Drosophila melanogaster: one gene and its partners. The gene in region 2 interacts genetically with the main gene of each other region. Each region holds a gene or a part of one and is shown on either strand. Other genes may lie near its edges. The genes, in order: soti, klhl10 and ScsbetaA.

Region 1 (8,823 bases), on a different chromosome or scaffold from region 2:
ATAATAGAGTGTTAAATAACATTGCTTAAATATGTAATTCATATTATTTTATAGCTCTTACAATACATAACATAATTCATTAAATAGAGTATTTAAAGCATGCGTTCTATAATTGTTAAAGTTTTTTAGCCCCGCCGCGTTGCTGTAATTGTTTGTATGTAACTTTGCTGAGCGGGCGAAATCCCGACCATTTGTGTGTGTTTTTTTTTTTTTTTTGGTGGGATATTTCCCGGGAACTGAACTCAATGACAATAATTAATGCGAACTTAAGTGTGTGTATAATTAAGGAGAAACTGCAAGAAGTTGCCGCGACATTGAATTCATGCCAGCAAGTAGATGAAGGCAAATTAACTTGGCCAAATTTGGGGGGGTGAAGCTGGGTTGTTAGGTGCTTGGGCGGTTGGAATGGAGAGTCACGTGAGGCAAAATCAATTACTCAACAATGCCCAGGTGATGGAGGGTGGCCATAGATCAAAGACGTGGCATAACAATGGAGCTCGGCGATAGCGGATGGGCATCAATCACATTTCGTGCGTTCAACTGCCGGCGGGTGGAATATCCAGGAAAGTCAGGAAACCGAGGCAACAACCCCAATAACTCGGGTCCATTTAGCATGGATGTGCAGAATGGGCAGAATGGACAGAATGTGATGGAAAGAGTTTCGAATCGTCTGTCAAACAATGGAATTCGAACGCAAAACGCCATGCCACTCGGTTGTCAGATTGTTGCAGCATTTGCTAAATGAATCAACCCTTGCAACATGTCATAATTACGCTTTAAACGTTGCCCCCCAAACCATTTATGATAACTCCTTTTGTGGCGCGACTTTTGTTTAATTTGATTTCTATGTGTATTGCTTTCAAATGGACATCTCGCCCATGTAAAAGCAACAATTAGGCGGACAAAGCTAACCGAAAATCAATTCAATTCAATGCAATTCAATTAGAAGGCGCGCCATTGCGGGGGCACCACCACCACCAACAACAACAACAAAAACAACAACAACAACAACAACAACAGCAGAAACATTGTTGCATGTGGCCATTTGCAACGCAATCACAGAGCGACCAAAAAGCAAATGCAAAAGCTCAGCCTAAAAGCAGCCGCAAAAAGTTATGGCAGAAGGACTTGCCCCACACCGACCTACAACCCCCCCCCCCTCATCCAGCGAGGGAGGGGTGCAATGGTGCAATGGAGTCCTTGCACTGGGACAATTAAATTATGCGGTTATCATTGGAGATTATTTAATTCATTTAAAGCGGCTTTTAGGAGCGCCAAACTAGCAATATCACAGCAAATTTAGCCCTTGATTTAAACATGTTCATAGTTAATTGTTATTAGAATAAAGGCTAATGCAAATTAAACTCCAACTAATACCTTCATTTTAAATTGAATAAATTAGGGATATTATGATCATGGACATTTTGCAACATTTTTGTAGAACAACAAACAAACCTAATACTAAAAGTAAGACGACCATTGTTAAAATAAACCTTATGGTAGATTAATATTTAAAAATATATATATTTATTTATATTTGAAGACTTATTCTAAATCGCACTAAATAAATAAATAGCACTAATTGATAGGAATTGTAACGCATATTGTTTTCAGTGCTTATGTTGCGGGCGTGGCACATAATAAAGCTGGCTGTCTGTTGCAATAATGGCCGTAAATTGCCGTCGCTTCAACTGCTTCTTCTTTTTGCTGCTGCTGCTGCAGCTCTGGTTGCTGTTGTTCTTGTTGTGGTTGGGGCGGATAGGGGGTGAGGGGGCGTTGGTGATGTGGCCAATGCAATTGCAACTGCAACATTGCAACAGCAATTGCAACTGCTACTGCAACTGCAACTGACTGCAGCCTATTTGTATATGAATGCAAGTGTGTATCTTTGTGCTGTGGCATGCGAAGCACATTTAGGAAATTAAATGCGTTTACCTTCGGTATATTCCCCCCCACCACCACCCCTTCCTCATCCCTGCGGCATTTCAGCCGCCTGCCGCCCACAATTTATAAGCCTTTTGGCTACATTTTGTGGCTTTGATTGCAATTATCTTTTGCATTTTGTATTTATTTGCTACACTTTGGGCAATTGTCCGCATTCGGCCTTTGTCTCTGGTTCTCCACTGTTCATCTGTTCATTGTGGCCATTGTCAGTGGCCGTAGTCCACATATGTGTGTTGTTGTTGTTGGGAGGGGAGCCTATATAAATCCTTTTGTTTTTGCCACAAGAATGCCGAGGGAGAGATGAGAGGGCAGAGGCGGAGTGATGGGATCCATGGCGTATGTGGGGCTTCCAATTTGAAGTTTATTAATTGTCAATTTCATGAATTTTTCGGTAGCCTTCAGGCCAATCGGCCTCCGCCGGCAAGCAAATCAAAATCAAAAACTTTGATTTGTATGTACGTTATGTAGGTGCTGCAAGAGGGAGTAGTCTCTATTTGAACAATAAATGCGTTATTAATCTGATACCTGTAAGTGAAGTTCGATTTGAAAATATTGAATAAAGTGTGATAGTCACTGTATAGACAATTTAATTTAGATAAATCATTCGGTTTTTATTAACATATATGTGGTACTTATATATTATGTGGTTTGTTAACAATTGTAGAATAAATTTGGAAAACAATAAGTTGAAAACCAAATATGAAAATATAAGTTTGCTAAATCGTGTTGTTTATTGAACAAGATTGAACCGCAAACATTTTTCAACTGTAAGTCAGTAAAGTAACGTCTTTTTTTCCTTTTTTGAGCTTGGTGGAGCGGTAGATAACTATGGTGTAACGTATTTTTGTTTTGAGCAAGTTTTTAGAGGAAAGATAACTAATGGGATGCATATCGGCTGGTTGGATATATGGACGTGTACATGTATGTGTAGTATGGGATCCCAATGAGCTTGCTCGATCTTCCGAGGTCCAAGAGAGGTTCTTCTAATTTACAATCTATGGGAGAACTATGGCGAATCAGAACTGACCCCAATGCTGTGGCAGACCCATACCATTCGGGTAGTTCTGACTGGTCATATTCTCGACGAGGTAATTTGCAAAGTACTCGCCTCGCTGATCCTCGCGAACGTGACGCATTGCCCTCGTGACACTGGCCATTAGGAGGCACATCTCCGGCTCCTGACTTTGGCATGGCGGAGTGGGTTTGGTCATAGTGTAGAAACTTCGTTTCTTCCGCCGACGTGGTGGTCCATTTGGCCCTCCTTGCGCCGGAAAAACGCCCAACGGTGGCTCTTGAGGAGCGTCCAGGAGTATGTCCATCTGACGATTGACTCCCAGGCGCTGCTGCTGCTGTCCATCCTCCAATGTGTCCAAGTCATCGCCAGCATCTTCATTCACCGCGTCGCCGACTCGATCGATTAGCTGCTCATCGTACAGATCGTGTCCGTGTAGTACGTCCATTCCAACTTACAGGCACATACAAAAAAAAAAAAACAACCAACAAAAATTGAACAATAAATACGGCAGTGTAGGTTGTGCTTCTGCTATTCAATACGATGTTTTTTTCTCTGTAGTATCAGTTGTGTCGTTTTGTAGTTGTAGTGTCTGAGTTTGATTTAGAACTGAATTTAATATCATGGCATTGTGATTATGAGAAATGGAAACCTGACATAAAAATCAAAGGAATATTTGCTAATAAATGATAGGAGGAAGATGTTTTTTGTTTTGTCATTTCTATATTATTTAGAGAGTCTAGAAGCCAAGAGCATCAGCAAAGAAAACTTGCCACATACCAAGTCCCATTTGGTCGAAAGTTTTTCGCCTGTTTTCCAGCCTCCTAAACTGGGGGCGATTAGATAGAATTGTGTGTATCCATTAGATGTAGTCATATCCATATCGAACGGCCAGTGACAAATGGGAAATCGCTGTCTGACATTTGCTCGCCTTGTTCCAAATCGGGTTCAGACCCCAATAGCCAGCCCCCAAGTGATTGGACACATTTAGCCCTATTTACCCACCCCAACCCTTACGAACTCACAACCCCCCACCGACGCCCCATCGACGTCGTCATTACAAGCCATTTAACTCGACTCGAATGCCTGGCATCAAGTGCTCCGGATTCAGAATCGAGAAATCGAAATCGGCAGCTGTTTGTGTGCCTGTAATGGGAGCACATTACAATCTGTAAATGAGCTCATTACGGCCAGCTCAATTAATAACTTTTCGTATTGCGTTTAAGCAATCGCATTTCGGAAATTGTTTGCCAGACAAATCGCTGTGAGAGCGAAAAGTTTTTCCCGCCGGAGGAAATTATGAAGTGGAAGTGTAAGCGGAGTGGAATGAAGTGGAGTGGAGCAGCTGCATCCAACAAGTTAGCCATTACCATCATGTTGCCAAGGATGTATCAGCAACATTTCGATTAGCGCATGCGCAGATGCTCCCCCTCGCTCTCACTGCGTTCTTTCCTCTCTCTCTCTCTCACTTTCTCTCTCTCTCTCTCTCTTGAGATCTGACCTCTCGCTTGTGGAACAATTTATTATGGCTTTGGGTCTATGACTGTGTGTAATCACATTGTTGCCATTTTCACTTCATTATTTTGCTTTAATACGGGCAAATTTTTGTTTTACTGCTGCACAGAGACAAATCGGGGCAGAGTATTTTGTTTTATCTTAATTTTTGTTGGTAAATCTTTTGTTAGGCATTAATAAAAGTTCAAGTAAAATAAATTACAAATTATAAACAATAAACAAAGATGTTTTTATATTCATTTGAAATATTACAAATAATATAGTTAGTGCTTAAGTTGATTTTACTCATATCATTTAATGAAACTTACTGTGTATAGTAATACAATTTCTCTAAGTGCAACTTGCATCCTTCGCCTTCTGTTTGCGTCAGTTCGTGCCTTCCTTCTCTGCTCACCTGTCCCCATCTCTTTCTTCGAGTCTCTTGCCTCTCTGAGAGACGAGTTGGACTGTTACAGTTGGTTAAGTAACGAGGCCAGGATGAGCTTCCCTTCCAGTTATCAATGAAGAAATGAACATGTCCCTGCTGCTTCGTCGCTTCGGGCGACCTTGCCAGTGTGTGGGTGCGTGGGTGGTTGGCTGTTTTTGGGTGGTTGAGCTGGGTTGGGCTGGACTGGATTGAAGTGGGTGGTGGTGGGTGGATTGTGTCTGCAAGTGTGCGCTTCTGTGTGCAGCAGACAGTAATTATTATGCCATGTCCAGCGATAATTGATTCAATGAAATATCTCCAACACGAACATTGTGTCCATGAAAGCTCCTGGGCAAGGATATATCGCCATATGTATGGCCTGTTTGTGCGGCTTATTTAAAGCTCACACTAAATCGGATTTGTCAGCCAATAAACGAGTGTTTGTCTATGACCTCACTCGATGGAAATGGTGTCATGTTAATGGTTAGAAAATTAGCAAGTCCCCGTTTTAATATCCTAATTTAGTTTTAAAATTAGAGTCTTAGCATATTATTATCATATAATTTGTACAAGTGTATATATAAAGTGGTTGTATATTAGTGATATTTGCTTCCAATTAAACAATCTCTAATGCAAAATCATTGAACCCAATTAACATTTCCCATCTGTCAACTTCATCCTGCGCCTCAGTTAACATTCACATTAATCCGTCAGTTTGCATTTGCTGACAACTTCTAAGTACATAATCAACACCCTTGACAGATGTTGGTTAACTAATGAGCTGTTTTAAGGTGTTTTAATTAGCCGATGCTGACGCCCGTAAACCAAATCCCCAAACAATGTGAAAGCATAAAACAAATATTATGCTAATCAATCCATCAATATTTTAACACTACCCTTGGGGCATTCGGGTGACGTGCAGTCGGCTCCAGCTTCAGCTTCAGCAACCAGCTGCCAGCTAATTAAATTGAATTATTATTGCATTTAATTATCGGCCATGCCCGGCATTCTATGGCCACATAAAATGTCAACTGCATTAGCATCATCATTATCGGCCAGGCAGGACAACACTTTCGGGTAAATTATCCCATGGAGCCCCAGTCCTCTTTGATCTCCGCCTGCATCGACGTTGCGCTTGTTAAATTCAATACAGTCGAGCATAATTTTTATTTTTATTTTTATATCCATTTTTCCAAGTGGGGACAGTCGGCGGATGAGGATGAGGATGTGGATGTGGCTGTGCGTGCATTTGTCTCCTGCTCTTTTATATTTTCGTTTTTAATTACTTTTGCGCTATTTTTAAGCTGTCTGCGGACGGGCAACATTCGAAACCAGGTCCCAAGTAATGACGGAGCAGGGACAAAGTGGCAGGGAAACCAGTCCCCAGTCCTCAGTCCTCAGTCCTCATGCCGCAGTCCCCGATTTCCCAGTCCACTCAGTCCACTGCATCTTTACTAGGTGTTAATTTATTTTTAATTTTTATTATTTATCAGCGCTATGCGATCGCTGTGGCAGCCGTCTCCATCAAAGAGCACCACACAAAATGCTCAGACGTAAGTGGATCGCTCTGGCGCTTTTGGGCACAGTCATGGATTTCCTTCCATGTGCCAAGTGCAAACTGCATCACTGGAAAAAAAAAACGATATGAGGTAAAGGAATATGTTTGCTTTGCTTAATATTAAATAAGTAGTCTTAATTTAACAAATTTCTGAAACTACCAACATTTTTGTCAGTTTATTACCAGTAAAGTAAACAGGCAGAATAAAGACGGAGATTTCGGGAAGTATAAAAGCTAGATAGTTAATATTATTAATATTTTCTTGATCTGTTAAAAGATTAAAGCAAGATTATTCATATTCAATTTGCTAATTACATTGCTAGCTTATTAATTCTGTAATTGTTCCCCCCGTTAAAAATAAAAGAATAATCACGTTTTGATGTGTTGATTCCCGGAACACACTCATTCCATTTTTCACTGACTGTAAGTGGATAAAGAGATCGTTGTGGCTGCTCAAACACCCGGACAATCTCCATGCCGCCACCTCGGAGTATTCCATCATCATGGCGCTGACGTTTCTATTGCATGCCATGTGCCATTGCCACAAACCATCCACATTCCCATCGTCATCCGCAAGACCGTGAGCAATCTCAATCCCAAACCGAATCCCAATCCCAAACTCGTTTTCCATTCCCTGGACTGCACTCTCGCATGCAATTAATATCATTTTTATGTTTCTAATGACATTCGCTGCGCTGCATTTGGTGTGCGTTTAGCGAGGAACTGGGTGCCCCGAAAAAGAAAACCATCATCGCTCAAAACGGCGTGTCGGGCACGAATCTTTCAAGTTGTAAAAACGCCATTAAATTGGCAGCGAAGTGCATGCCAGCCAACTATGATGGCGATGATGATCACTCAGAAGAGGAGTAGCACCCGAGTCTTGGTCATAAACAACTTGAAACTTGGAATGAATGGAGGTGCGTAGGGTGGCAGTGGAGTTGTTGCCCCATTAAAAGGGGTCCGACCCTGGCCACATTTAATTCACTTTATTGTCTTTAATTAATTTGTATGTTTTTATTTCGATTTTGGACAAGAATTTCTCGTTCGCCCAACATTTCGCTCTTTTGTTGTAAATATCATAAATATTTCGATGCTGCCGCTACTGCTGGCCGTCATAAAATGTTTTTGTGGAAAAGTAATAAAGCTAAAAGTGTATAAATAAGTGGTGTAGAAAGCGATGGTGGGTGTATTTCATGCTGTGGCTGCTACTGTTCCAGCCACGATTGGAATCTTAATGGTCAATAAAAGCTAATTAAATGTTTTTAATACAGTTGTGTTATTTCCAAAGGGGCACCACGCCAAAGGGTTGAAGGCGGCTCGAATGGTAATGATCGATCAAAACACTCGAAACTGTTGCATAAATCAACACGCAGAGATTATCCGAAAGATACAAGATACCGCTGCGACTGTATGTGTGTGGGCGCCCAGCCAATTGCCGCACGCACACCACAAAGCTATTTTAATTGTCTGCAGTTCGGGGAAAGTCGGGGGAAGTCGGGGCAGCCACCCTGCATCCACATCCATAACACAGGGTTCGTCGTCGTTGACGGCTGCCTAAAAGGCAAGGAGAAATTGCCACACGCGACCAAAATGCATAAACCAAGGTAAGTGGGATCGTCTGAAATTTAAAAAAAATATATATATTTAAAAGCTTGCTGAAAATGCAAACAAACTTGTAACTTGATATCAAAGATATCTGAAAGATGTATCAAACTTTTCTTCGAGGATGATCAAATGGTATTTGTATTCAAAGTATGCCCTGAACTTTTTAAGAATGTCTCCAATTAAATTCTTAGCGATAAAGGTAAGGACTCAGGATCGAATAACTTGCATTGCGTTTAGTTTCGAATTTTCTTTCAGTGTCGGCGCTTCCACCTCCCACCCCCGTTTGCCCTTTGTACTGTGCTGCATTTTCGAACCGCCTGCATCTCTTCAGCATCGACATCCGAATCTGAATCCGAATCGACGACGTCGTTCTGCGTTGACTTCTTGGCTGCCGTTTGAGTTGTGCCTCTTCTGTCTGGGCTCCACTTGGGTTCCTTTGCCACTGCACCCCACTCCACTCCACTCGCTCTCCCCACGGATTTCCCTTGCCCCTTTGGCCACCAATCGCCGCTGCTGGCTGGCTCTTCGTCAAACACAACAAATCGTTTTCATTGCCGGGCAAAAGCATTTTCAAAATTGATGCGGTGTCTGCGTTTAGGTGGAAAATTGAATTTTCATTTTCATTTTCATTTCGCTGTGGCCCCGTCGTCTGTCGTAATGCTTGATGCTGATGCTTGGGGTGTGTTAACTTAAATTTGATGAGCTCGAGGTATTTAAATAAATTGTTGCATGCGTTCTGTTTGACATTTTGTTATTTTCGCCGTTGATTGGTGGAGTTGGATG
Region 2 (9,998 bases):
GTAAATTCGACAAAATATGCTTTTCACCTTATATGTAAAAAATTCTTGTTTCGCTTGCGGCGTGTAAAAAATGAATAAGACACTGATTGTTGAATGCTTGTGTCCGCACTTCGTGCCTCAATATATGACCAAAGCAAAGACACTAGAATAATTCAAAGCAAGCTAAGCTCAGCATTCTATATCACAAATAAAAAAATTAGCGATATATAAATAATTGACGACTGAAAAATCGAGCAATATATAATAAAAAACAATTGTTAGAAAAATAACTTAATTGGGGAACATGGAAATGTTTTAATGTTAAACATTCAAGTCGACTCGAAGGTCTTATATGTAAATATAGGACCCCATTACAATTGTAATGGTCTCCCCGTGGTGTTGCTGGTTCTCATTTTAAGTTTGACAAGAGACCATAGAGATAAAAGGTAATGCAATAAATAAGTCCTGAATTTCAAATAAAAAATGTGTGTACCCACCTTTGGAGTCATTAGGCCCAGTCGTACCCCAGTCATTAGATGGGCAACATGGCGCTTGCGGCTTTCTGGATTACGGTCGATCCATTTAACACACAATTTCCATACGTGATCCTCTTCGCGGGTATTTAACTCATCATCGCTAATAATACTGTAAAAGTCTTCAGCTGACATATCTAGTATGTCAATATTACGATATGCAACTTCAGTAAAGTACCTTAGAGTGTAGTTCCTGGCCTTCAGGTGAAGGTCCTCCAAAAATCGGAACCTACGTAAAACAATTAAAAGGGTTTCCTTACGACAATTAGCGAATTAAACCCACCGTGCGAATCCCATAATACTGACACAGTTTTCGGGGGTGAGTATGCGACCGAGGTAGTCTTTACATTTCTTAACTAAACCTACCATGCCAACGTAGTCAGCGCAGATAAGTAACTCATGAACATTGCTCTCGGAGATGTTTGTTTGACGCAGGTAAGCGTACTGTATTACACAGTTCATTATACATGAACTCACGCCGGGGATATGAATAAAATTATTGTTTTTTTTTGCATCTGACCCATCTACACATCCGGGAGTGTCAGCGTTAAACCCTGTGAATTGAGCTCTGGTGGGAATACGTGTTATCTTCACAATTCAGGGTGAAGTTATTAACTCACCGAAAGTATGAGCTACATGAACACATTATTGCACGATGTACGTTGAACACATCCTCCCCCACAGAAATCTGGGCGTCGCAGAGAAGATTTTGCTCGCGGAGCTCATTTAGCGTGTTCAGGGCCTCGTCACTCACAATGGGAGCCAAAGATTTTGTGTGCGCATTCAAAATGGTTTTACGGCCAATACCGAGCGTCTTGTCCTCGGGGCTATTGCCGTCTGCGTTCAGCTGCAACGAATCCATTGAGACGGGGGGCAGAGCAAGAGCAAAAGGCAGATCTTCATTGATATCAAGGAGGTTGCTTTCGTTTTGATTACGACTCATTAGAAGAACGAGGTGAAGTCCAACCCCTTTACTGTGTTCGATGCTGAACCGTGTCTATGGGGTGGAAATTAGGCACATACGTAAATAAAATAGGTGGGATCTGTAAATGGTTGTTACCTCGCGTTCTAATAATTTTTGTTTTTACTGTGAAAAGAAGTACCTTCGTATTTAACTGCAGGAACAGGAATATTAGTCAATGTAGGAATAGCAACAATAAATTTATGGGGGAAAACAAAATGACTGCTAAGCCTAAACAAAAATGATTATTATCATAAATAGGGTTAAATACGACTTTCAGTTTTATAAATGTAACATGGAGTAAGGCTGAAGGCTGGCAACAACCCGGTTGGCAGCGCTGTTGAGCAGCAACATGATTGTCGGAAATCGAAGTTATCGACAATCAGTCATCGAAGGAACGATCGCAAGGCAGCAGTGGTGTGGAAGTCAGCGTGGCAGTCAGTCGAGTTCTCAGCAGCAGTCGTTCGGTCACAAACTAAGAATACTTTATATAATTACCGCATTTAGAATTAAACTAATAATTAAATTAATAATAAACAATAATAATAAACAATCTTACATGGGGGCTCGTCCAGTCCTAAATCGGTTATATGAAGGTGCAGTTGTTTAAAGAAAAAAGACATTGTTGTGTGCGTGGGTATAGTCTTTAAAAGTTGTAAAGTTGTGGCTATATCTATTGCATTTAAAGTTGGAAAAATCAGTTGTACAGATTTTGTTTGAACACAAGTCGGTAAAAGTCGGGAAAGCTGCTAGAGAGAACTGATAAAGTTGAAATTGTCGTGTGCGTGGATTTAGTCTTTAAAGTTGTAAAGTTATGGCTACGTCTACTGCATTGAAAGTTGAAAAAATCGATTGAACTCATACAGACTCAAGTCGTTTTGCTGTTGTGGAATTTAAAACAATTAAATTGCAAAGGTGGTGAAATTCGTTTCTAACGAAAATCAAAATTTGTCTTTTAACCGGTGGCGCCGTCTGCAAAATCGACTACCGTCGCGCCGTTAGAACATTGTCGTTGTTTGCTGGTGTTAGTGCCTTGTCGCGGAATGTTCACACGTACACCACCTACAAATAAAAAACTTAACACCGACCAAATACAAGCAATTCTAGAGAACGAAAGCGAGGACGAAAGCAGAAAAGAAAAAATGAACGAAGAAGATCAAAAGTTGGCGCCTGTAGGAGAAGCAGAGGCAAAGAAGCAGAATAAAGACGCTAGTGCTAAAGTCGAAGAGAAATTTGAACAAATGATGAATACTCTAACCCAGAGCATGTTGGCAAAATCTAAACAAGAGGGGCAAGTAATTATCGCTGCAGAAAAATTTGAAAAAGTTGTAAGTGACTGTGATGGCAAATCAATTCCTATTAAAAAATGGTTTGAAATTTTTGAGAAAAATGCCGAGGCATATGAACTTTCGGAGAAACAAAAATATGTTCAAGCCAGAAGTAAGATGATTGGATCAGCAGAACTTTTCTTAGAATCTGAATGTGTCAGTGGATACACTGAACTCAAAGAGTTACTAATTGAAGAATTTTCAGGCAGCTATAATAGCGCCGTTATTCACAAAAAGTTGCAAGACAGGAAGAAGAAGAGGGAGGAAACTCTACACGACTATTTGTTACAAATGAAGAAAATAGCAGCCTTAGGTGAAGTTGAAACAGTTGCTTTGATAACTCATATCGTAAACGGCCTCGACATTAAAAAGGAGTATAAGGGTGCTATGCTCCGTTGTAAAACTCTTAAGGAATTAAAGCAAGAATTCGAAATCTACGAGAGTCTGAATATTGTTGACAAGCCGAATATTCAACCAAAACCAAAGCAAATTACACAAGGTGTAAAAGCAGATCACTGCTTCAACTGTGGTTCGAGGGAACACAAACGAAAGGATTGTACACTTCCTACCAAATGTTTCAGCTGTAATCAAGAGGGCCATATCTCAAGCAAGTGTCCGGAAAAAGTAAACAGCATGCGCATTCACGTTGATAGTGCACGAACAAAGCCAGTAATCATAAATGGGATTATCATCAACTGTCTGGTGGACACAGGATCAGATGTGACCATAATTAAAGAAGCTATATTCAAGAAGATGAAAGATGTTGATTTAAACCGCACTGCAACAGTATTGCGAGGTTTGGGAAATGCCTCAACACAGCCGATTGGATGCTTCAGAGCATTAATCAAGACCGACCAGGTGGAAGCAAGCCACAACGTTTTAGTCGTCCACGATTCTAAATTCAGTTGCGATGGAATAGTGGGACACGATTTTATCAGCAAGTTTCGTCTTATCTGTAGTGCAGAAGGCTATACTTTTCTTGACCTGGAAGCAGATAAAAAACAAGCGGTTGAGTATTCCCAAATGTTTAATATTTGTGAAGAATCTTCTTTTACAGTTGCACCACAATACCGAGAAGACGTTGAACGCATGATAGAGAGAACATACGAAACACCACCCAAGCAGATAAAGCAATGTCCAGTCGAACTCAAAATTATTCCTGATGGCGTGATTAAACCCTTTCGCCATGGACACACCCGACTATCTGAAGAAGAAGCTATAGCTGTAAAGAAGCAGGTAGAGGAATGGGTCGAGCAGTCAATCGTCCGTAAATCTACATCAAATGTTGCCAGTCGCATAGTCGTTGTCAAGAAAAAGGATGGTACCCTACGCGTTTGCGTGGACTATAGAAAATTGAACACCATGGTTCTGATGGATTGTTTTCCGGTACCCATAATGGAGGAGGTGCTTGAAAAACTGCAGAGTGCCAAATGGTTTACAACCATGGACTTACAGAACGGATTTTTTCATGTGGCCGTAGAAGAAGCCAGCAAGCCGTACACAGCATTTGTTACCCGAGAAGGCTTATTCGAGTTTAACAAAGCGCCCTTTGGTTTTAAGAATTCCCCAGCAGCGTTTATACGGTTCGTTCAATTTATTTTTCAAGAACTAATCAATTCCAATATAATGCAGCTATATATGGATGACATAATTGTATATGCCGCTACCCCAGAAGAATGCATGGAAAAGACGGAAATGGTACTTAAGAGAGCTGCAGAATTTGGTCTAAAAATAAAATGGAAGAAGTGCAACTTTATGCAGAGGCGAATTCATTTCCTGGGACATATTATCGAAGGTGGACAAATATGCCCTGGAAAAGAGAAAACATCAGCAGTGAATTCCTTTGGAACACCTCAGAATGTAAAAGCCGTTCAAGGATTTCTGGGTCTCACAGGATTCTTCAGAAAATTCATACCTGGATACGCCCAAATTGCGAGACCACTGACGGACCTATTAAAAAAAGATGCCATTTTCAACATTGGACCAGTAGAGCAGCAGTCGGTGAATAAGCTGAAAGAGATTCTGGTAAACGAACCAGTATTGAGGATCTACTCACGAGAAGCAGAAACCGAACTTCATACAGATGCCTCTAAGGACGGGTTAGGAGCCGTTTTATTGCAGAAGTTCGAAGGCAGTTTTCACCCAGTCTGCTTTTGGAGCAGAAAAACTACAAAAGCCGAATCAAATCGTCATAGTTACTACCTTGAAGTAAAAGCCGCATACTTAGCTCTGAAAAAGTTCAGACACTATTTATTGGGAGTCCCTTTCAAGCTCGTCACGGACTGTGTCGCATTTAAACAGACAACAAAAAAAGCAGATGTCCCAAGAGAAGTTGGCCCATGGATTCTCTATATGCAGGATTTTAATTTTCAACCCGAACATCGTGCAGGAGAAAGAATGAGACACGTTGATTTTTTAAGCCGCCATCCCCAAGCATGCATGATGATAACATCCGAGTTGACAGCACGTATTAAAAAGTCGCAGCAGAACGATGATTCAATTAGAGCAATCCCGGAAATTCTAAAAGATCGTCTATTCCAACCCTACAAGCTAAAAGGTGGCCTGTTGTATAGTATGGTCAATGGCAATGAACTACTGGTTGTCCCTGCACTAATGGAGAGGGAGGTGATTCAAAGCGCACATGAAGTTGGCCATTTGTCGTTGCAAAAGACGATGCATAGCATACAGCAGCAATTTTTTATTCCTCATTTGGAATACAAGGTAAAAAAGCTAATTTCTAACTGTATAAAATGTATCATCCACAGCAAAAAGTTGGGAAAGCAGGAGGGATATCTAAATTGCATAGATAAAGGAGACGCACCGTTGCACACACTACACATCGATCATTTGGGGCCAATGGATTCATCGGCCAAACAGTATAAATACATTCTGGCAACAGTCGATGCGTTTTCAAAGTTTGTCTGGTTATTCCCAACCAAATCAACCGGACAGGAAGAAGTGGTCAAGAGGCTGACCGACTGGTCAAACATTTTTGGTTTCCCTAAGCGAATTGTTAGCGACAAAGGAACGGCCTTTACGAGTGGTGCGTTCGAACAATTTATGAGCAGCCATAACGTGGAACACGTCTGCACAACTACTGGAGTGGCCAGAGGCAACGGCCAGATAGAACGAGTAAATCGTTTAATTTTGGCAATAATATCAAAGCTGTCTTCAGACGAACCGTCGAAGTGGTACAAATATGTGCCTGAGGTACAAAAGGCGATCAACTGTCACGTGCATTCATCACTGAAGCTGTCACCATTTGAGGTCATGTTTGGCACCAAGATGTACACCCGAGTTGAGGATCGGTTACTGGAACTGCTCCAAGAAGAAGTGGTCTGTCAATTCAACGAGGACCGCTATGAGATGAGACAGCTGGTAAAACGCAACATCGAGCAGGCGCAGAAGGACTACAAGCGCAATTACGACAAAAAGCGCCGAGCTGAATACAAATACAAAGCAGGTGATCTGGTTGCAATTAAAAGGACCCAATTTGTAGCTGGCCGCAAGATGGCAAGCGGGTATTTAGGTCCATACGAAGTCACAGGGGTCAAAGACAATGGCAGATATGACGTTAAAAAAGCAGCAAACGTCGAAGGACCCAATGTCACATCCACCAGCTGTGACAACATGAAGTTGTGGAAGTACATAGCCGAAAATGCAGACCTATTGTCATCCGGGTCGGATGATGATGATCAGGAGGGCCGAATGTAACATGGAGTAAGGCTGAAGGCTGGCAACAACCCGGTTGGCAGCGCTGTTGAGCAGCAACATGATTGTCGGAAATCGAAGTTATCGACAATCAGTCATCGAAGGAACGATCGCAAGGCAGCAGTGGTGTGGAAGTCAGCGTGGCAGTCAGTCGAGTTCTCAGCAGCAGTCGTTCGGTCACAAACTAAGAATACTTTATATAATTACCGCATTTAGAATTAAACTAATAATTAAATTAATAATAAACAATAATAATAAACAATCTTACATAAATCTTTGTAATGCTGTTATTTTCATTTTTATACTTTTACCAAAATTAGTTACATTTGTATATATGTATATACATATATATTTTAAGCGCGGATTTATAAATTTGTTAAGAAGAAAATTGTGGTGTCAAATAAACATTAAACATAAAAGGTTAATTACATTTACTTATTTGGTTAGTATCCATGTAATCATAAGCCTAATGTGGTAACAAAAATTTACCATAACACAAAGACTCCGAGAAGCATACCTCAACGGTAGGAGCGGACTATTTTTATGCACTAGTAAGATACAAACGAATTTTTGGCTAAACTTAGCATTATGCAACACCACTCGGTTCCACAAAAAAAAAACAAATATAAAAATATTGATATGAAAAAGGAATGTTAATTTTTTTTCCCGCCGACTCACGATATTAGTATCGGGCATTTTTGGTATTTATTTAAATAAACTTACAATATACTAAGAATCGATTTTGACAATAATTATATCCAATAATTATATCCGTTTCTCGTAGAGTAAAAGGGTGTACTAGCATGTAAGTATGTAACAGACAGTATGTATAAAGTATATATATTCTTGATCAGGATTAATAGCCGAGTTGATATAGCCATGTCCGTCTGTCCCTATGAACGTCGAGAACTTGGGAATTATAAAAGTGTGGGAGTCGAGCCAAAATGGCAACCTTATATGTGCTATCGCACTCATTTAGTAACGAACCATTATAGCCAAATTCAAATCCTGGCAAAATTGAATATTGCCCTATAAAATACCACAAAATTCCCGTGTAGGATTGTAGCAAGCTACGGTCACACTTGATTTGCATACTTCCGTTCTCTTTTCGGAAAGTCGTGATCGAGGGCAGTTTAATTTGATGCAAAGTCCCTGATTATAAATCCACGAGAATCGTGTAGACCGGATAAGAGTTTTTCAAGGCAAATACTGCCAAGTGATAGTTTAAATCGTGATCTAACTTTAACTAGCCTGCTGCCGGTCCCACATTTGGAGGTAGAAGTCTTAGTGGCCGCGTCGCCAAAGCGACTTGCATTGTTTTTCGCCCTCAACTTTTGACCACGTGTGAAATTTACTGTGGCTTCATCGATCGCAGAAAGATTCACAACTGCTTGGATCAGGAGCACCCACCGCGTGCAGCGGAAAGCTGGGCTTGTCCTTTTCTGCTGCCAACCAAGTGCAGATCGCAGGCCACAATCCCCCCCCCCCACGAGTTGGCGTTCTTTTTCTACCCTTCATCGCCGCAAGCAAGGAGCAGATCGCCGTGCACCCATTTTGTGCATCTTTTTTTTGTGTGCATCTTTTCTTTGTTTTCATCGCACACATCGAATCAGCGGCACTTCTTCTTCATCCGTGCGCATTCCGAGAATATTTCTGCACAACGCGAGCCCCAGGCTGCTGAAGCAGCCACAACACGAATGATCGTGTCCAGTCTTGAGTATCTTTAGAATCGTTTTTTATATATGTGTTAATTTTGCCTAAAATATTTACTTATAAACCTCTACGATTCTAATTTAGCTTAACTTGTGGGAGATCTGACAAATATATATAATTAAATTCTTGCAATATTTATAAGTGAAAAAAATATAATTTTTATTTCACTGAATGATTACAATCTTTTTATTTGAGGAGAACACCGACATTTTACAATTAGGTCTCAAACTGAACTCTGATAATTATTCTGATTTGATTGACGTTCAAGCCTCGGTATCGAGCTTTTCTAATATGGACTTTAGACTTTAGGATTCTGATCGTGAAGAGAAAAAGCTTTGCGTTTCTCTTGGATTCAAGTGCATTTGCTCTTGGATACAAGTGCTCTTAGATTCTTATAATTTGTTTATTGAAATCGATACTTTTGTTTTTCGGGATTGCGGCTCCGAGCTTTGAACGTGGGATTGTGACGATGGGCTGAGGCTTAAGCAATGTATTGTTTAAATTAGGGGACGGATGTTTAGTCTACCAGTGGGTGACTTATCTAGAATTGGGGGTTTTTCCATTCTCGAGGATCATATAACAATCTTATTCTTATCTGGTATCTGTTGGGTACATCCGGAGTAGTGTATGTTGTATTGGGGTGTATATGTTGTAAGTGTATTAGTATGTAGGCATATGCTTAAGTCTTAGGGACTTATGGATATGTCACTCCCCCAACCTTTGAATTTGGCCTGTCCTCAGGTCGTTAAATTTGGGTATAAGGTAATATTATTATTATCCCTGTTGAATATTTTCATTGACATTATTTTCAAGGTGCGTGTGTTCTTTTTGCTTACGATATTTGACAATAATTTTCTTAGGTATATTTTTAAACTTAAACTTACATACAGAGTCAAACTAATTATCATTATGACGAACGTTGTAATGCATATAATTTGGAAAAAGTTATAGTGTTTTACATGGGATTCTATCATTTCTCTCGTTTGTAAGTGATTTATCGGTTCTAGACGTGTTACTTTGTTGGTGATATAAATTGTTTGTGTAAAGTCTGCTAGATTATTAGAGATTAAGAATTCATCCATTTGCATGGTACAATTTTTAATTTTAATGATGTTGTTTCCTGATATTAATATTTTATTGTTTGTACAGTCTTGGTTAACGGCTGTTTCAGGAATATTCCATGTTAATAATATATTTGGTTCTATATAATTTATTTGGTAATTTTTATGTGTTTTAATATATTTGCATTGAGTTTGCTCTTGTTTCATGATTCCAATAATAAATTTGTCGAATATTACCCTATTGGTATCTTTATGGAATACTTGGTTATCAAATATGTAGAATTTATCGAATATTTGCTCGGTTAGAATATAATTATGTTCATCTGGGTACGGAACAATTTGGAATATTGGAACTTTAGTAACTTCGCTAGGAACATGGGAAATAATCAAAATTTCGTTCGTGTCTGTTTTAAGCCAAGTTGACGTTTTTATCTTTAGCATTTTTTCTGAATTTACATGTTTTAAATAGTCATGCTTTAGAAACTTTGGATTGAAAATTCCTAGTCTGGTTAATTGCATACCCAATTCTATGTCTTCTATATATTCTGTAAATTGCTCTAGGTTAAATATTAGTACCGCAATTTGTTGGTGTTGTTCTTTGAGCTTATTAATTATATCTATACCACTATTGATTACATCTATGATCGTGTTTAGGTCATGGGTTTTTACAGAGTCTTCTGACATGTTGTTTATTCTTTCTTCTAATTCTTCT
Region 3 (11,883 bases), on a different chromosome or scaffold from region 2:
GAACAAATTGATAAAAAAATTAAAGAAAATGAATATATATATATATATATAGGTTCTATATTAGGTTCTGAAAACAGTTTTTTATTTTTTCAAAATTTTTTGGTTGTACCACCCTAATGTATTTTCACAAATTCTGTTGATCTGGAAACATTATCTCTGCAAACTGCTCACCGTTACTTCTGTTGCGCCTGCTCTTTCGCCTTCCAGTACGAAAAGCACCGTAAGTCTCCAAAATGCAGATGAATGGAGAAGTGGACCGCGTTGGCGAGGGATCCAAGAATATTGGATCACTTTCCTCCAAGCGATGGCCGCAGTCACAAGTGAATTCCCCAGCAAACCGATCAGTTATACCAGCACCAATACTTCCGCCAAAACCTATTATCTTAAGTCCGTGAAAAAGCGGGTGACCACGTGTTTCCAGCAGTTGCGCGATAAACTCCAGTCATCCGGTTCCTTTCGCAAGAGTTCCTCCAGCTGCCTCAACCAGATCTTCGTAAGGTCCGATTTCTCCGCATGCGGCGAACGCTTTCGGAAGATCTTCAAATCGGCGCGAAAAACCGAATTGCCGGAGTTGTGGAAGGTGCCATTGGTGGCCCATGAACTCACCAGCCGGCAGAGCAGCCAGCAGTTGCAAGTCGTAGCCAGACTCTTCTCGTCCACTCAGATTTCCACCAAGGAAATCACCTACAACAGCAACAGCAACACCAGCGAGAACAACATGACCATCATCGAGAGCAACTATATATCCGTGCGCGAGGAATATCCCGATATAGATAGTGAGGTGCGCGCCATATTGCTGAGCCACGCCCAGAATGGAATCACGATATCGAGCATCAAGAGTGAGTAGCTTTATGTTTGAAAGCTTTCTTCTTTCCAGAAGTTTCGACTTCATCAAACACTTCAGAACTTTCTCTAAGTGGCTATATTTAGTTAGAAATCTAAAATGTATAAATTTTTAGTAGGTTATTAAATTTTATTTGGATTATATAACTTTTATAGTTTAGTATATTTATTTTAATTTATATTTTTTCTATGTTTCTTTTTTGTAAGATTACCCTTAAATAATTCTATAATTGAAATTCGCCAGGTGAATATCGAAAACTGACGGGCAATCCATTTCCACTGCACGACAACGTGACGGATTTCCTGCTGACCATTCCCAATGTGACCGCTGAGTGCAGCGAGTCCGGTAAGCGGATCTTCAACCTGAAAGCGAGCCTGAAGAACGGTCACCTCCTGGATATGGTGCTCAACCAGAAAGAGCGCACCAGCGACTACAGCAGCGGAGCTCCGTCCCTGGAGAACATACCACGAGCACCTCCACGCTACTGGAAGAATCCCTTCAAACGGAGGGCTCTGTCCCAGCTGAACACCAGCCCGAGGACCGTGCCCAAGATAACGGATGAAAAGACCAAGGATATCGCCACCAGGCCGGTTTCGCTGCATCAAATGGCCAATGAGGCAGCGGAGTCGAACTGGTGCTACCAGGATAATTGGAAGCATCTGTGAGTACTGAAAAGGTGTTTTGTAGACAGTGCAACTATAGCAAAAATAAACCTTTACTTAACAAAATGTACTAATCTTTCTACTGAACTCCTAGCAACAATTTCTACCAGCAAGCCAGCGTAAATGCGCCAAAAATGCCAGTACCCATCAACATCTACAGCCCCGATGCCCCAGAGGAACCAATCAATTTGGCTCCACCTGGGCATCAGCCAAGCTGCAGAACCCAAAGCCAGAAAACCGAACCGACTGAAAACCGCCATTTGGGCATCTTTGTGCATCCATTTAACGGCATGAACATAATGAAGAGACGCCACGAAATGACGCCCACGCCAACGATTTTAACCAGTGGAACCTACAACGATTCTCTGCTGACGATTAACTCGGATTACGATGCCTATCTGCTGGACTTTCCGCTTATGGGCGATGATTTTATGCTATATCTCGCCCGAATGGAGCTAAAATGCCGATTTAGGCGTCACGAACGCGTCCTGCAGTCAGGACTTTGTGTATCCGGACTGACGATCAATGGCGCCCGAAATCGTTTAAAAAGAGTCCAATTACCCGAGGGTACTCAGATCATCGTCAATATCGGATCGGTGGACATTATGCGCGGCAAGCCTTTGGTTCAGATCGAGCACGATTTTCGGCTACTGATCAAGGAGATGCACAATATGCGATTGGTGCCGATTCTAACAAATCTTGCACCGCTGGGCAACTATTGTCACGATAAGGTATTATGTGACAAAATCTACCGATTCAACAAGTTTATCCGAAGCGAATGCTGTCACCTAAAGGTCATCGACATACACTCCTGTCTAATCAACGAAAGGGGCGTGGTGCGATTTGATTGCTTTCAGGCGTAAGACTTTATACCATATACCATATCATATGAGTTTACGATTTGTGCCACTTTTCAGCTCACCACGCCAAGTCACCGGTTCCAAGGAACCCTATCTGTTCTGGAACAAAATCGGTCGGCAGCGCGTACTGCAAGTTATTGAAACGAGTCTGGAGTATTAAGTTGGGTTCTTAATCAAGATACATATATGCAAATTTTGACTGGGCTGGCACCGGAACCGACAAAATAAGAACTTTTTGATGATTTTACGATTTACGCTGATGGATCGCTGCTTTTACGGAATTCGCTTAGTTTTAATATGTTTTATATGTAGTATGTTCTCTGTCTTTGTTTATTTATATGTTCGTGCACTTGTCCTAGTCCATTATTGTATATTATTGTGTGTTTTGTGTTCTATGTTAGATTTAAACTTCTCAATTTTTCGCTGTCTGTGATTTGTTTTGCCAATGCCATTGATTTTCTGCACACTTTTTGCTGCTATCCCAAAAGCTGTGTAAAATAATCAAATGCAAAATAAGCGCAAGCAGCTGAAAACTTCTCTTCAAACTTTTCCGCTTTTCCCAAAACCATTTTGCTTTGAAATCTGTTTTTACCAAATCAGATTAAACTGCAAAATGGAACTTAAATGCAAATCATTGCAATGCTTATAAACTGTTTTTTGTTCTATATACTTTTGTGTGGGTCAAAATTCGGCATGCTCCTGTATCACACAACCTGCCACTTGCCCTTAAAAAGAAGGGCGCAGTGGGCGTGGTACGTATACATATGAGCCATGCTGCATTTTGGCCGTAATGAAAATGCACTGCTTTACTTGGAAAATTCGCTTGCACAAAATCAACGCCGCGGCTGATTTATTATTGATGTGCTCAAGCAAATTCAAGTGAAGCATTTGCGCGATTTTCGTCTTTCTGTTTCCGTTTGCAAAAAAGTTTATAAAATGCTTACACTCTGCTGCAGACACGCCAACCGGAAGTGCGCACTAAGCGCTTGTTTGTAGCACAGTGTAGAATTCTGGCGTAATTTACAGCTCTACTTTAAAGTCTTCTAGATAGCTATCTACTATTTATAAACTTATTTATTGTCTTGAATGTATGTTAATTGTATGTATTGATGGTGATCACGTTTTTTTTGTCCTATAACAAGCTGCAATGTAAAATCCAAAAAAAAAATGAAAAAATAAAATAAAAGGGAAATCAATGATTTTGTTTGCTCTAAGCTATGTTCAAAGTAACTGGGAACTAATCGAACTAATTTCGATTTAAAAGTGGTCTAGATTATATTGTGACATTTGTGAATATATTATTATATTTGCGAATTTATTATTATCATAAAAATAACGGTAGTTGAAAAATAATTTAGATGGCATGCAATATTAAAAGTTCCCGCCAAATTGGCTTGAATCTTTGCTAATATATTACAGTTTCCAACCTTGCATTAAGTTCACGATAGTTTTTCGGCATTTTCGATTGTAAAAGCATAAAAAAGTCCCTGCTATCGAAGCTCTACCACCTCCATCAGCAGGCGACGGCAAAAAAATCTTGAAATGTAAGCAGTAACGTCAAAATTCGCTTTCAAATCGTTAAACGTACGTTCTCATTCGATTTCAGAACAAAATGGCTTCATTCTTGGCACGAACTGGCGGCCCCCTGATCGAAACCGTTAGGCCAGCGGCCATAAAAAAGGTGAGTTCGCCAATTAGTAGTCATATTTGTGTGTAAAAAATGCGAAAATCCGTCGCTTTACATAATAAGGCGAAAAGAGAGAGTGAACACCTACGCTGTCCCCTTCTCTGTCTCTCACTTACTCACACATGTGAAATGCTGATCGTTTATCGGTACAAAAAAAAAACTTAAGCGATAATTTAAGTTCTTTGCCATTTGTTAACTAATTGTTTCTCCAGAGAAACGGGGAGAGTGTGAGATTTAAAGAGAGTCACGATCACCAAAGACACCTGACTTTTTTATTGTGTCAGTGTGACGCAACTGTGCGCTTTTCGTACGCATGTGTGTGTGTGGGGACCTTGAAAGCCCCATTTATTCCCCCACTTAATTTAGTTTGTTTTTTATCAATGAGCAGCTGACAACTGTTGCTTATCGTTTGTGGTTGTTGTTGCTGTTGTCGCCGGGCCCTCTAATTAAATTCTTAATCTGTGAATTAGTTTCGGTTATCACCGGGAAACGCCGTTAGCCGGACGAACTTGCTCTTAACCCAGATTTCGTTTCTTTTCGCCGCTTTTTGTTTATGTTTTTTTCACATGAATCACCGAACCAGTTTTTTTATGTTTAATTTTTGCTTGACAATGACCTCGTGACTGGAATTAAGATTTCATTTATAAGTACAATAAGTTTCGAAATCGTTTTTATTTTCATCCTTTTAAATATATTTTTAATTATTTTTCTTGTTATCTTTAATTAGCATCTAATTTTCGCAAATTAACATGGCAAAAATTCCAACCTTTTCAGATTCTTGGCCTGGCTCCCATCGCCGTCCAGCAGCTGAGGAACCTCAATGTCCAGGAACACGTTTCCTACAGTCTGCTCAATGAGGCCAAGATCCCAACACCTCGGTGAGTAAACCCAATCGGAATTATCAAAATCGCGGGCAAACAACCAACAATTTGCGTCAAAGTCGCAGTCCAAAGTTCAATGAAAGTGCCGCGTTGTCGTTGCGTCGTCTGTTTCCTTTGGCTTATGTGCGTTTTGGACTTTGCCTGAACTTAATAATATGCATTGAGTATAGCCGACTACGGGGTAAACAAACCAGAGAAACGCAGCCGCCGATGATAAGGGTGATAACAAGTTTTATACTATAACACACTTTGATCGGCGTAAAGTGACAAGGGTCAGTGACGTGGGCTTTGATAAGATGGAAGCGGCATTAGTTGACGTCTATCATAATTAAACTAACTAAATATACATAAACTTTGGGTAAAGAAAATATATTTTAATGTTTAAAATACCTGTAATTTAAATTTAAGCAATTGCAAAGCTAGAATATTTTGATTTCCATTTCGTTTGATAAATTGAGATTATTAGAATCAAAAGATAGTAGTTGCTTTTGCTATTATTCAGGTAAAATCAGGCGACTGATTTATTTTCTAAATGAGGGCTTGTCATCTCTCGAATGACCGAATAACCTTGTCTCAACTTTCAACCTTTGTGGTCTACTGATAACACGATTTACGTGAAATGTTCCTATCAACAATCAATCAGGAACATCGTAAAGAGCGCACCCCCAAAATTATTTCGCGTACTGAGTGATTCATTTTTTTGCAGTTTCGCTGTTGCCAAGAACGGCAAGGAGGCCAACGATATCGCCACCAAGCTGAAGACCGATAACCTGGTGCTGAAGGCTCAGGTTTTGGCCGGAGGACGAGGCAAAGGAACCTTTAAGAATGGCCTGAAGGGAGGTGTGCGAGTGGTCTACGAGTAAGTTGTGATATATGTCTAATATCTGTGTGGTAAAACATAAAAAACAAATCTTACTCCGCAGTCCCCAGACCGCTGAAGAACTTTCAAGCAAAATGATCGATCAGCTTCTGGTCACCAAGCAAACCGGAGCAGCCGGTCGCATCTGCAAAAAGGTGATGGTTGCCGAAAGGAAGTTCCCCCGCCGTGAGTTCTACTTCGCCGTGATGATGGAGCGTGCCTTTAACGTATGTCTAATAACCATGCATTCAACCCTGTGAAGCTATAAAAGACGATTCAATTTCCAGGGTCCCGTGCTGATCGCCTCCAAGGAGGGTGGTGTTGATATTGAGGAGGTGGCTGCCAGCAGTCCAGATGCCATTTTGTACGAACCCATCGATATAGGCACTGGCTTGACCAGTGAACAGGCCGAAAAGATCGTCAAGAAGGTTGGTCTGGGCGGCGATGGCGAGGACACACATGTCCAGATGCTGTTGAATCTGTATGACCTGTTCGTCAAGAAGGATGCCCTCTTGGTTGAGATCAACCCCTATGCCGAGGATGCCATGTCCGGCTGTAAGTTTAGTTATATATGTTCTCTTAAGCCATGTGTTGTGGTCTAATTCTAATGTCTGTCTCATCCTAACGAACTAACTCATTTGTGATTGTCATTGTACTGGATTTGATGTTTTCTGTCCAGGCTGTAAGTATATTTCACCAATAATAACCCTTTCCATTCATTAACCTATGTTTAAACCTAATGATTTGTAACAACTTTCAATGATTACCTGTAGTCTTCGCATTGGATGCTAAGCTGCGATTTGATGACAACGCCGAGTTTCGTCAGAAGGAGCTGTTTGCGCTGCGCGATTGGACCCAGGAGGATCCCAAGGAAGTCGAGGCTGCCAAATACAATCTGAACTACATTGCCCTGGATGGCACTATCGGCTGCATGGTGAACGGCGCCGGTCTGGCCATGGCCACCATGGATATCATTAAGTTGTATGGCGGTGAACCGGCCAATTTCCTGGATGTCGGTGGTGGTGCCACTGCCGAGGCGGTCAAGGCCGCCTTCAAGATCATCACTTCCGATCCGAAGGTGCTTTGCATTCTGGTCAACATCTTCGGTGGTATTATGCGTTGTGATGTCATTGCCGAGGGTATCATCTCCGCCACCAAGGATCTGAATCTGAACATGCCCGTGGTTGTGCGTCTTCAGGTGAGTTTTCATGGATGCATTTATCTGACTTGCTGAGATATGCTAAACAAAACTGGTTTGCATTGCAGGGAACCAAAGTCAAGGAGGCCCGCGAACTGATTCGTACATCTGGACTGAAGATTCTGGCCCGCGATGATCTAGATAAGGCTGCCGATCTCGCCGTGCACTTGGCGCAAATCGTCAAACTGGCCCGCGAAATGAAGATGGACGTGAACTTCGAGATTCCCGATGCCCAAAAGTAGATAGCTCCATCAGTTACCGGCTAAGTCAACACTCATAAGCACACGCAGACACAAAATGAAAGTCGACAAAAAAGTAGAACCAAAACCAAACATTTACTCTAGCCACACGTAAACTACTCAATGAAACTATGCCATCGGTTCGTAGTTAGAGCATTATGTATTCGTAACGATCGGTCGAACAATTGATGAATTAATTTTGCAAAAATGTTAAGTTTAAAGCTGTTTAAAGTCCTAAGGATATGTCATAGATAATTCGAATAATCGAGCAAGTTGAGTGTTCTCTTTGCACCTAAACAATTTCTATATTGTATCTTAAATAGTCAACAACATTAATTGCACGTGAATAATAGAAAATGGAAATGAAAATACGTTTTAATTGTGATTTTTGCAAAAGTTCATTTAAATTTTATTTATTGAAATGTGACCCTGCTTTTAAAGCAGATCCATCATCTTGTGTATTATCCTATTTAGTTTGCTTTAAATTAAAACACCAAACAATCATACACCGAACCTGGCTTTTGCGTTATTCAAAGACTGCTTAAAACAGTGCGTTTTAGTTCATTTTTAAATAGAGTCTTACTAACTTTAATCACTGCACCTTAGGGGCAAGGGCGATTGCAAGAAAGATCAAAAACAGCCCGACAGTAAAGGTGGCAAGAAGTCGGAGAAGAAAGATGACAAGAAATCTGATTGCACAAAAAAAGAGGAAAAGAAAAAGGAAGAAAAGAAAGACATTTGCGAAAAGAAAGGTAAAAAGTAAAGGGATACAAATTTTGTAATAAACAATGCAGGATCGAGCCGGATGTGTTTGAGACTTACACCATCAAAAAGAAGGAAGCCATTGTTTAAATTCAAAATCCAAATTTGCCACAAAAGTTTCATTGTTCAAAATTTTAATCTCAAATTTCAGATGTAAACTTCTGACCCGCCACATTTTTAAAGATTTTCATAATATTTATGTTTTGTTTATTGTGTGTTGAGCCTTAGAAACGATCGACTAGAGATAATATGTGGTTCTGCTCCTGTTCCCGCCAGTCGGTGTCGCCATCGCCCAGGTTGCCAGCGTATTCTGTGAATGAATTTGAAATTTGAACATCTAAGTTTTACTGGGCATTCCATTTGTGGTTTACCCCTCATTATGCTGCGAATGGTCTTCATGGAAGCGCCGCGCAAGTTAAGGATCTGCAGTACACGCTGCTTGACGGTGTCGCCAGTGGCACTGACCTCCAGCAGGATGTAGTCGATGCGCTGCAGCGTGAACAGCCCGCCGGTCAGTCGTTTTATATAGTTATTCTCCGCCTCCTCGTCCTCATCAATGGTGGGATCCTATGCCATGATATTGGTTTTCAATTGATTAGTTTATGGTTACACATAAAACTTCATTTCGTACCTTAGCCTGCTGATCGATCTCCTTGTCTATGGCTTCCACCTTGGCCAGATACTTGAGGTGCAGCTCCAGCAGGCGATCCACCTTCTCGTGATCATTCTCCGTGAACTTGGCCAACATTCGCTGGCGGTGTGTGCCCTTGCAGTTTCGCAACATTGATGCGATTACGGAGGTCACATGCTCCTCATGCTCATCGGCGGAGATTAGGCGCTGCTTGTTGCGCTTGGGGGTTTTCATAAAGAGTGGGAAGATGGTGCGCAAGCCGAGAATTTCGACAAACTTGTTGCAGTTGTCTCTGCCATCCTGGCCAGCCATGGCATGATCCAACACCTTGAGCGATCCATTTCTAGACATCTTCTTCTCGCGCAGCATTAGGTTCATCAGCTGCAGACCCTCGCCGCTGAGAAAACGATCGCGATTCTCGCGGGCCATCAGAGCGGAACAAAGGCAATTGAAGAGGTTCTGCATGTACTCCTGCTCCTCGTTGCTAGCGGGATCGTGTCTCTTGTAGACAGCCAGCTGCTGGAGCAGCACATCCACGCCATCCAGAGAACCCAGCAGTAATCGGTTCTCGTTCTCCGTTTGTATAAGTATGGAAAGTATCTCGCTGCAGTAGAGTTTGTTGGGATCGAAGGGCGACTTGCCGCGCAGCCGTTTCAGCAGCCAGGCGAGCAGTCCCTGTTCAGCGGCTTCCTTCACGAATTCCGAATCGATTTCGGTAAGATTTTCCACTATGGCCAGCGTATTATGCACGCCATCGGCTTCCTCCTTAACCTGTTCGTTCAGTCGCTCCAGATTCTGGACAAGCAGAGCACAGATTTGCTCTTTTCTCAGTGCTTCAATCAAGGATTCGGCACCCTCTTGACTTTCGCCCAGGATATCAACATCGGTCACTTCTTGCAGCAGATCTACCACGGCCACGGCTATGTCTGTGTTCTGATGTGCCAGCAGTTCGAGCAAACTGTGCAGGCCGTGCAGATCCACGAGAATTGGATACAGATCGGGCACCGTGGCCACGCCCTTCAGCTCCTGGATTACCGTGTGCAGCTCCACCTCGGAGTCCATGAACTTCTCGGGACTGTCGGCAAACTTGATGCGCATCTCCTGGTTCTTCAAGTTACGCTTCTCGAACACCAGTATCAGTTTCTTCAGGCTCTGCTCATCCAGAACATCGCCATCGGCCTCCTCGTTCTCCACGTACTTCAGGATGTTCAGGCGTTCCTCCTCTGTCAGTTCCGGATCGAATTCAAAGGCGGAAGTGCCACTGCCACCGGTGGCTCCTCCACTTTGCTTGACATAGTGTGCGGACTCCTTGGCATCGGCGATGCGCCGCATGCGTTTGGTTTTCTCATCGACACCGCCCCGTTTTCCGTGCGAGCTCGCCAAATCGAATTCATCGTCCTCGTCGTCGTGCGGACGCTTTGGCGTCTGTTCCGGCTACAGTTTGGAATGGTCCAGGTGCATGAATATCATTGGTATTATCCATATATTTACCTTAAACGCCAGCAGTTCGCCGATGTCCATTTTTGCGGGCCTTAAAAAACAATTAGTGCTGGAACGTTAGGCGATTCTTCAGCGATACTATCGAACGTGAACCGCACGTGAATGAAGATAGGTTCAGAACCATGATAAGCATGACTTAGCGGAGACTCAAGCCCTTTAACCCTTAGAAGGTGACATCATTATTTTGTTTGAATCATATTTAACTTCAAATTAATTCATAATTCTGATTTCAATTTGTGATTTAAATTTGTTATTACCTACATTTTATATAAATCAAAAATTAATTCAAATTTTAATTCGCTATTATATATTGCTTTTCGATATTTGTGCTCTTCAAATGTTACTTGAATTATAAGATTTTGTTTAAATAAATATATAATAATAATAATTACTAGGCAATTTTACAACATTTTATAAAGCAAAGCTAACAATCCTAAAAGAGCTTTAATAAGTTTAAAAACCTAGAATATGGTTTATAATTTCTGTATTCTTTAAATAATTAATACTTTTAATATGAAATTTAAAACTAGCAACTTGAACCCATTAAACATTTCTTTCGCCCACCCAGCCTCCCAAAAAGGGGCCTTTGGCTGTTTTAGCCCAGCGCCTGCGACTTTGACGACGAGTTTACATAAATTCCTAAAGGCCAAGCCCCAAAAATAAATTTACAACTGCTTTAAGCTCTGGCAATTCAACAAGTTGTTCGCGTCTATGAGTGTATGTGTGTGTGAGTGAGTGTGCGCTAGTGTGTGTGCTTTCTTCGAGCCAGTCTTTTTTTTTCAAGTCAGTTCGTCAGCGTGATTTGGCGTTGTTGTTGCTGCCTGTGCAGTTGCCATTGGTAGTGGTATTGGTATTAGTATTGTTGCTGTGGCTCCTGCCGCTTTTTTACTTTTTTCTGGCTTGTTTCATGCTGACCCACTTTTAGTGGCAATACGTGAGCCCGAACAGTGGGGCAAAACCTTAGTGAAAGCTTCGCTGTAAAAGAGCTTTAAAAATAGAAAATATATGGGAATTTTAAAGTGATCATATAAGCTATAGCTCAATTACGAAGAATAATAGAAAATATTTTAAAAATGAAATTACCTTATTTTCACTATATTTATAATTGTAAAAGTGCTTAGATTAAATTCAAAATAAATAATGAGTTTATGGATTTTGGCCACACTGTGCCGGGCAAAAAAGTCATAAACTGAATTGCCAACAGGTTATGGCGACTACCACGAAGACGACGGATGGCTTGTTTGCTGTTTTTGTTGCTGCGGCTCGACTGCGGCGGAGTAGTAAAAAGGGCCATGACAGTGACACTTTGAAGTTTGAGGTTAAATCGTCAATGTTGTTGCCTTGGTCTTGCTCTCTGGCTGGCATTGGTTGCTGTGTGGATGTGGATGGGGCTGTCTCACTTGGGGAATATACCCATAATATTTTGTGAGGCATTATTGTACCGCACATCGAATGCTGCCTTGCACTGCACTCCATTCAAAAGACTTAGGCAGCGAACTTGGAAAGAAATTACTTTGAACTCACGCATGCTCGCACGTTTTTTATGTTTTTCTTATTAATTATTTTTTTTTTTTGCCTGCCTGTTTTGCCGCATCTACACTCACACACGAGCTGGGATTTGAAAAGTGAAATTTCAAAGTAGAACAAGCGGCAACGGCAGCAACAACGCCGCACGTTTGGAGGTTCCAATAAAAATGGGGTCACTTGTCGTTGGCCAGTCGGTTGAAGTAGTAGAGCCCCCCCCCCCCTCTACCGAAAGC

The links.
Region 1: of klhl10 (region 2) and soti, changing one suppresses a phenotype caused by changing the other (phenotypic suppression), as found in Drosophila melanogaster (one study listed by BioGRID).
Region 3: of klhl10 (region 2) and ScsbetaA, changing one enhances a phenotype caused by changing the other (phenotypic enhancement), as found in Drosophila melanogaster (one study listed by BioGRID).

What each region holds. Positions count from the first base shown.
Region 1 is NT_033777.3:14,378,126-14,386,948, forward strand, and holds soti (scotti), read right to left. Parts: upstream 3,575-8,823; 5' UTR 3,405-3,574; coding exon 2,961-3,404; 3' UTR 2,538-2,960; downstream 1-2,537. UniProt on the Drosophila melanogaster protein: Post-meiotically transcribed gene that has a role in late spermiogenesis; required for actin cone progression during spermatid individualization.
Region 2 is NW_007931083.1:48,402-58,399, reverse strand, and holds the start of klhl10 (kelch like family member 10), read right to left. Parts: upstream 4,959-9,998; 5' UTR 4,858-4,958; intron 1,699-4,857; exon of another isoform or gene 1,573-1,698; intron 1,510-1,572; 5' UTR 1,456-1,509; coding exon 1,133-1,455; intron 1,081-1,132; coding exon 796-1,080; intron 742-795; coding exon 477-741; intron 1-476.
Region 3 is NT_033777.3:8,934,842-8,946,724, forward strand, and holds ScsbetaA (Succinyl-coenzyme A synthetase beta subunit, ADP-forming), read left to right. Parts: upstream 1-3,882; 5' UTR 3,883-3,910; intron 3,911-3,916; exon of another isoform or gene 3,917-3,972; 5' UTR 3,973-3,978; coding exon 3,979-4,047; intron 4,048-4,827; coding exon 4,828-4,931; intron 4,932-5,640; coding exon 5,641-5,793; intron 5,794-5,857; coding exon 5,858-6,020; intron 6,021-6,080; coding exon 6,081-6,348; intron 6,349-6,472; coding exon 6,473-6,475; intron 6,476-6,566; coding exon 6,567-6,991; intron 6,992-7,059; coding exon 7,060-7,229; coding exon of another isoform or gene 7,230-7,233; exon of another isoform or gene 7,234-7,716; intron 7,717-7,836; coding exon 7,837-7,993; 3' UTR 7,994-8,186; downstream 8,187-11,883. Other genes in the region: osk (oskar), read left to right, coding at 305-839, 1,088-1,505, 1,601-2,365, 2,424-2,526; CG11964 (uncharacterized protein), read right to left, coding at 8,217-8,302, 8,364-8,559, 8,624-10,057, 10,115-10,144.